2 linked regions of the Bombyx mori genome follow. The protein of the gene in region 1 purifies or fractionates together with the protein of each later gene. This does not show direct contact. Links are inferred from orthologs where the notes say so. Each region holds a gene or a part of one and is shown on either strand. Other genes may lie near its edges.

The links.
Region 2: the proteins of uncharacterized protein LOC101740701 (region 1) and YAP65-like protein purify together in Homo sapiens (affinity purification with mass spectrometry; 6 studies listed by BioGRID and IntAct, with this or other methods). This does not show direct contact. The link is inferred for Bombyx mori from reciprocal best matches to the Homo sapiens genes MPDZ and YAP1.

Annotation. Positions count from the first base shown.
Region 1 is NC_085134.1:2,048,391-2,052,824, forward strand, and holds the start of uncharacterized protein LOC101740701, read left to right. Parts: upstream 1-1,362; 5' UTR 1,363-1,527; intron 1,528-4,434. UniProt on the Homo sapiens protein: Member of the NMDAR signaling complex that may play a role in control of AMPAR potentiation and synaptic plasticity in excitatory synapses. Promotes clustering of HT2RC at the cell surface.
Region 2 is NC_085111.1:12,002,535-12,006,366, forward strand, and holds part of YAP65-like protein, read right to left. Parts: intron 2,668-3,832; coding exon 2,525-2,667; intron 1-2,524. UniProt on the Homo sapiens protein: Transcriptional regulator with dual roles as a coactivator and corepressor. Critical downstream regulatory target in the Hippo signaling pathway, crucial for organ size control and tumor suppression by restricting proliferation and promoting apoptosis.

The sequences.
Region 1 (4,434 bases):
TTTCATAACGCGCCTAAAGAAGTATAACTTCAAAAAGTGAAGTCGAATATTTGCAGTTTTAACTTTTTATGTATTACTTGTAATTGGTTACTATTTATGTTTAAGAAATTTCCTTGCTAAGATTTCTCCATGTAATTAATGCTAGAAACTGTAGTCTAGTGAAGGAAATTCTATGATCGAGACAAAAAGTATGTAATTTATAAATGTAATAGAAGGAAAATCTTCAAAAGTATTCTATTTAATTTCCTCGGAGACTAAATTCTATGTATGTTATAATATAAACAAGTTCATCTTTTTTTAAATTCGCTTCTAAATTTCGATCCAGTTTCAAATAACAACGATGCTAAATAACTTATAACATAAAAAATCCGAACACAAAAAAATCTAGAGAATTTTACTGTTGGTAAGGATCTCTTGTGAGTCCGCACAGGTAGGGACCACCAACTTGCTTATTTCTGCCGTGAAGCAGTAATGCGATTCGGTTTGAATGGCGGGGCAGCCGTCGTAACTATACTTGAGACCTTAGAACTTATATCTCAATGTGGGTGACGCATTTACGTTATAGATGTCTATGAGCTCCTATCTGGACGATAAGACGAAGTGAGAGGGTAAAGATCGACGCTTTTGAAATGTGGTGTTGGAGACGGATGTTGCAAATTCCATGGACAGCACGCCGGACCAACCTGTCCATTCTTAAGGAGCTCGGTATTTCCACAAGGCTGTCCGCTATCTACTTCCAACGTATTCTCGCGTACTTCGGCCACATCGCTCGTAGAGGCCCCGATAACTTGGAGAAGCTGATGGTAGTTGGTCAGGTTGACGGGAGAAGATCACGCAGACGCTCACCTACCCGCTGGTCTGATCTGGTTAAAACACTCACCTGCCTGCGAATAACCGAGGCTATCAAGACCGCCGAGGACAGGAAGACGTGGGGAAGCATTGTGCATCGAGTGGTCCACACTTCAGACTAGACACGACCTTCAGCAATGAAGAGACCGACTCAGAAGAAGATGAGCTCCAGTAACCACTTAAAACCAGGTGGACCGTGAGCTCGTCCACCCATCTAAGCAATTAAAAAAACACGATCCACTGTTCTAATTACTTATAATTATAGTGCAGTAATAAAACAAGATATCGTCACTAGAGGGGTACTCCCTACGCTATGTTATCAAACCCCTAATAATATTTCTGCCCAACGAAACCAACACAAAAAACCGTTGACCGTATAATATAATGTCCATAAAAACTGACATTGGAACGTCAAAAAAGAAAATACCATAAAATTATAGTTATGTTCCTTGGCGTTATGCGTTGAATTTTTCGCCATCGATTTCCCTCAGCGCATGTCAAATTTGGCATCACCCAGTACAGCGCCGCGGTCGTCGCGTTTGCACGTGTCCCACTGTAACACGTAGCCAGATATAATGTAATGTTGAATTAATAAATGTAAACCGTATTACACATTCCGTTCGTATTATTAGCGGTTATTTCAAAAGGAGTTTTACGGATCATCGAATGTCCACAGAGGTAAAGTAAAAATTATCTATATATGAAAATTATTTTGTATAAGTTAGCTGTAACGAATGCTTTTGTCGCCGATGCCATAGTTTTTGTCTAACAAAATACTCTTGACGTTTTCAGGATTATGTAAATTAAAAAGGGCGAAGCCATTAGCATTTAATTCGGGAATTAAATCTCTTTCATTAACATGATGACGATATTAAATGTATATTGGGTATTTTAATTTTTGAATAACTTAACGAAACAGCCTTTGAATAATTCTAGTTCATAAATTTTCCTTTTTCCTATATTTTTTCTTGATTCAATATATTAAGACTGTGGTCGGAGTTAATAACAACATATCAGTAGTTTTTATTACAAATGCAGGTGTCATAAAAAATAAGACACGATAAATTTTAATTTAATGTATTTAATATTTATGTAAAATTAGATTTTATAAGTAATTTAAGTAAATAAAGGAAGGGCTGGAATTTAGTACAAAAAAAAAACGAAAACAATATTACACTTTATTAAGGTATTTATTTACATAGTGAATTATTGAAACCTTAAAAATTTCAATTATTAATATATCAAAATTTGAAAACTATTATTTTCTACAAGAAAAAATGTAGCTCACAAAACCAAAATTTAATACGTAAAATGAATTTAAGTCTTGCGGCGTCAGTGATTAATGTCGAATTTCAAACGCTGCGAACACCTAGTGGATATTTTCTTTAGAGTTTTCTTTAAAAGTCAGACGTTTAAAATTAAAACATGTACCACAGAGGAAAGATTAAAAGAGTAGATACGAGCAAAACAAGAACCAGGCAATATTCGTATTGGATTTGGGTCTTTCTTGTCCTCTTTCTTGACTCATTTAATCTGATTCTTGGATTTCATTTAATATTCTTAATTAAGTACATTATAACAATTTTTTAAAGGCATAGATTGGGAATTGTACATAATCACTATTTCAATAATAACATTTATATAGTTTTCTTATATACACATATATAGGTACATACATCACTTGTATTAATATATTTAGTATTCTTTTAATTGATGTCCATGAATTAACGCGTCGAGCCGACTTTTTATTCAAGAAAATTCTTGACAGATTAAAATTTTCAAATAGCTGTAAAGATTAATGCTTTTTTAAACATTCAGTGTTAATATCTACTGAAGTACATTGGAAATTTTTAATAAAAAAAAACAAGACTTGTTCCCACAACAAATAAAATTGTATATTCAATTGTTACGACAAATTTTAATTTATATTTTCTAAGGATTTTTTTGTTCAGTCTCGTAAATTCAGATGAACGCAGCGCTTCGCTTCGTCGGGGGTGGTGTTAAGCAGGATGGTCTTTTAAAATGATTTCCCTGAATTCCTACATAGAATGTAACTTACTGTAGAAAACACAGATAGAACCGAAGTTCATGGGGTGCCAGAAAACAACCGATAATTAGAACAGTCAATCTTTTACATATGAATGTCGATTTAAATAGATATTTTATTGCTTAGATGGGTGGACGAGCTCACGGCCCACCTGGTGTTAAGTGGTTACTGGAGCCCATAGACATCTACAACGTAAATGCCGCCACCCACCTTGAGATATGAGTTTTAAGGCCTCAGTAATTACAACGACTGCTCGACCCTTCAAAGCGAAACGCATTACTGCTTCACGGCAGAAATAGGCAGTGCGGTGGTACCTACCCGTGCGGACTCACAAGACCGCCTACCACCAGTACCTAATTACCCAAATGATAATTTTGCGGGTTTGATTTTTATTACACGATGTTATTCCCTCACCGCGGATGTCAATCGTGAACATTTATTACGTACGTATTTCATTAGAAAAATTGGTATCTGCCTACGGGATTCGAACACCGGTGCATCGCTACATACGAATGCACCGGACGTCTTATCCTTTAGGCCACGACGACTTCAAAACATTCAGATTATTTTCGTTGCTAGCTATTCGATTTCGTTCAGTCATGTTTATTGTTATTTTAATTTTTATCTTATGGAACGATGTTTTTAAATTCAAATTTGTTTGAGATGATCGTCTTTACGTCTTTTTTATATTCAATCGGAGCAACGCTCAGGCTTACTGCATGGAAATGCCACGAAAATTTCTTTACTGCTAAGGTACTTCTACCGCCATCGGAGCAGGATTCATCCATATTATCTGGAGCCGCTGCGTTCATCGACAATGCGTTTCCAAAGATCTTTTTTGCCACGTACCATCCGACTTTGGAGTGAACTCCCCTCCACGGTGTTTTCCGAGCGCTATGACATGTCCTTATTCAAACGAGGCTTGCGGAGAGTACTTAATGGTAGGCAGCGGCTTGGCTCTGCCCCTGGCATTGCTGACGTCCTTGAGCGACGGTGACCACTTACCATCAGGTGGGCTGTATGCTCGTCGTCCTACAAAAGCAATAAAAAAAAAGGTAGATCACAGTTCATTTGGTGTTAAGTACTTACCAAAGCCCATTGACATTGCTAATAACATCGCAACATCCACCTTGTGAGACATGAGATTTAAGTCTCAACTCTGATGAGTTAAAACCGGCAGTTCCCATCATGGGTTTCATTCAGTGACCGATTTGAACTAGATGTGTCTTTTGCTCAAACCCGACTTACATCGCGGCGTAGGTACATAACTCTCAAATGTTTAATCTTCGCCCTAATGCATTCTGTATCAAATATTAACGTCTTACTGGTGGTAGGACGTCTTGTAAATCCGCACGGGTAAGTACCACCATTCCACCAAGTGCCTATTTCTGCCGTGAAGCAGTAATGCGTTTCGGCTTGAAGGGTGGGCTAGTCATTGCACTATACCGCGACCTTAGAACTCATATCTAAATTGGGGTGGCGGTGTTTTCGTTGTAGATGTCTACGGGCTCCGGTAACCATTTAACACCAGTTGGGCT
Region 2 (3,832 bases), on another chromosome or scaffold:
ACTGTCATGGAATACACACATAAATAACCTTAAATCAGAATGTTATAAAAGACTAAATATAATAAAGTCTTTATCGTCCACTGGATGGGGGTCAGAAAAAAGTTGCTTAATTAATATATATCGTACTCTGATCAGGCAGAAGATAGATTATGGCTGCATTATTTATGATTCCGCCAAAAAACGAACACTAAATTCCTTAGAAAGTATCCAGAATACTGCTCTTCGTCTAAGTATTGGTGGTTTTAGAACAAGCCCCATTAAATGTATCCTAGTTGAAGCTGGTGAAATGCCATTAGAATTTAGAAGGAAACAACTTATGCTTACATATATAACAAATATATTAACTCAACCTGAAAATCCCACCTACCATTATTACACTAAAGTAACAGCAGTTGACACTGAATATGAACTCCAACCTAATTTATCTCAACCCTTACGAATCAGAGCAGTCAAATACTTAGATGAATTAAATCTTAAAATTCCAAAATTATTTACAAAAAAACTACTTACTTCTGGTCCATGGGAAAACTTAGAATTGCCAGTTAACCTTGAATTAGCCAACTATAAAAAAGGTGATACCCCTCAGTGTATATATAAAAACTTATTTTGTGAAATTAATGATAGATATAGAGGTTACAAAATTTATTACACAGATGGTTCTGTAAAAGATGGACATTCAGGTTGTTCAGTAGTATCTGCTGATAATTACTACAGGTATAGACTAGTAAATTTTAATTCTATTTTCAGTTGTGAGGGAATAGCTATCCTTAAGGCCTTAGAATTAATACACAGTCAACCTAATACAGACAAATACATAATATACACTAATTCGAAATCATGTTTGACAGCGTTAAAAAACCCAAACAACTTAAATAATCTTATTTTAGAAATTAAAAAAAAAATGGTAGATCTATTAAAAGAAAGTTACAAATTTGAAATTATATGGATTCCAAGTCACCAAGGAATAGCCGGTAATGAAAAGGCTGACCAGGAAGCTAAAAATGCAACAAGTGATTTTGAAGAGGTACAGCTAATCATTTCCACTGCATCAGATGTTCAAAAACATCTCAAGTTCAAAATTAAAACTCTTTGGGATAATCAGTGGAAATTTGAGAACCCATCATTTTTATTTAAAATTAGAAATTCAATTTTTGATAAGCTTTCCTTTTCCTTAACTAAAAGAAAAGACCAAGTGGTTCTTACAAGATTGCGGATTGGACACACAAATTTAACTCATATACATCTTATTACCAAAACAGATAAAAACAAATGTAAGTGTGGTTTGGATCAAACTGTGGTACACTTGTTAGTTGAATGTAAAGCATATGACATAGAAAGACAATTTTGTAAGCTCCCTGATAATTTAACAGACTGTCTGACTCAAGATGGGTATAAACAGACCCTTAGTTTTTTAAAGATCATTGGTTTGTATAATTTAGTATGATGTTGAAGTCAATGTAACTTAAAATGATACTGTAAACTGTGGTCGTTAATGACCCTAGTTGTTAAAAAGCGACCTTAAATAAATAAAAAAAAAAAAAAAAAAAAAAAAAAAAAAAATAAAATAGTTACTGTACAGTGTTCAAATTACTGTTTCTTAATCAATTACTTTTAACGCAATGAAATAATTCTAGTCAATCAATTCCAATGGTCTAAGGCCCACCCACGCAGACTTTAAATAACTCTTCATACATCTCACTTTATTAACGGATCAATATTATTTTAATTCAGTATCCTCAATGAATTAACTACAATAAGGAAAGTTGGTAATTAAATTATACATTGGAAAACCCTAAAACTTCATAAGTCATAGAACGAAGAGCGAAAACCAAAACATTTAATTGACGTAAACACAGATCTATTTTTATAATTTTTATTAAGAAATTTTAAATATTATGTATTTTTAATGCTGATTATTGTAAATAAAAAAATCGTGTTTATAAAATATTAAGAATTGCAATCGTCACGGTGGCCCTAATTTCGTTAATTCGATCTTAATTATGTATATCACATTATCAATAGGGTACATAAAATAACCATTTGTGACTGAAGCGTAATAAAAGTTCAAGGTACGTAGTGAATTGGTTTTTGACAAAATATCTATTTCTATTCTATTTAAATCTTCGTTATCTAAAAAGCACTGTCAAAAGTTTATAAAGGAACCTACTATATACGTCACAAAGAATTGCTTTTTTTATCGCTTAGCTGGGTGGACGAGCTTACAGCCCACTCGTTGTTAAGTGGTTACTGGAGCCCATAGACATCTGCAATGTAAATGCGCCACCCACCTTGAGATATAAGTTCTAAGGTCTCAAGTACAGTTACAACGGCTGCCCCACCCTTCAAACCGCAACGCTTTACTGCTTCACGGCAGAAATAGGCAGGGTGGTGGTACCTACCTGTGCGGACTTACAAGAGGTTCTACCACCAGTATAAGTCGCTTAAAGAATTGAGTAGGTAGTATAAGAACAGTTTCAGGTTAATAAAAGGTAAATTTTGTTTACAAAGATCGCTATATTCTTACCAGGTGTGGCTGTGTTGGTAATGGTTTGTTGTGCGTTCTGATTGAGCAGGGCTTCGGCGGCTTGATGCTGGACAGTGTTGGCCACGTTCTGCGCTGCGAGAGTTTTCCGCGGATCATCCCATGTCGTCGTTTTTGTTATGTGACTGTAAAGATGAGTAATTACATTAATTTAACTTCTTCGTTAGCTTCGATTAAGCTAAGCTAAGCTAGAGATCTAAGCTAGAGAACGAATCTTATAATATTAACATTAGGTAAGGCTTACATCGAATTTACAATTGTATGTTTTTGGGGTCAAATGTATTCCGCTGAAAACAGGCTGATGGAGCGCGTTATTATTAAAATTCAATTTTCTAAGAGGGGAAGATGAATTCCTCTAAGCAACAGCGGTAAGTAAAGCCTCTGTATACCCAGAGGTTAGTCGGATCGGAATAGATGAAAACGCGAATCATTGTTGTCTGTAGCTTAATATTGATGTGAATAGTTTTTTTTATTTGATAAATAATCTCCCTGTCTCAATATATTGCGAGGGATTGTTCCTACCGGGATTGTTTATTATTATTATTTTATTAAATGCACTTTGTTTGAGTCAGGGGGCGTTCGTTGGGCTTCCGCCTACCGGTTAAAGGGCAGTAAACGGTTGTGTCGCAGTTGAATTGACATCTCTCAACAATTCACGTTCAACCCTGATATAAGAAAGAAATCAACATATAGGTACAGGAGCTGGAAAGGTGATGTGATTAGCACAAAGCGGAACTCTCCACTAATCTAGCCCCAAGGAACGCATCGTTGGTCGTCGATTATCTGAAGTTCGTTTGAGCAGCAATACCAACTCGTAACCCCAGGATACCGCAATAGTTCGGAGTGAGCGTTTGCTTTTTTGCAACAATTATGTCGAAAAACTGAAACGTCATCTTCTTAGGGCCCAAAACACGCTCACACAAAAGTCACAAAGCACTTTAGATTCCCTATCCAGTCACCAGCTCGAATATTAAGCACATTGCGAACCTTTGCTGATTTACATGGTTCGAAGTTTATTTACCCCTCGTCGTGGCTTTCCTTGAACGAGTTTAATGTTTCTGCCATTATAACTTTTTATAAAATAATAATGTGCTAAGATAAATGCTTTAATTTCCTAAAGCTGTAGGCTTCAAAAATTAATTTTCAATTTCCGGCAAATTTAGGTCACATATGATTTACATAGAAAAAAATTGTCTCAACGAATATTCGAAAATCTTTTTTTTCCTACCTAATCTGATGGTCTTGAGAGACCATATCAGCGTAATCGGGCGAGTAGGTGAGCTCGCGGGA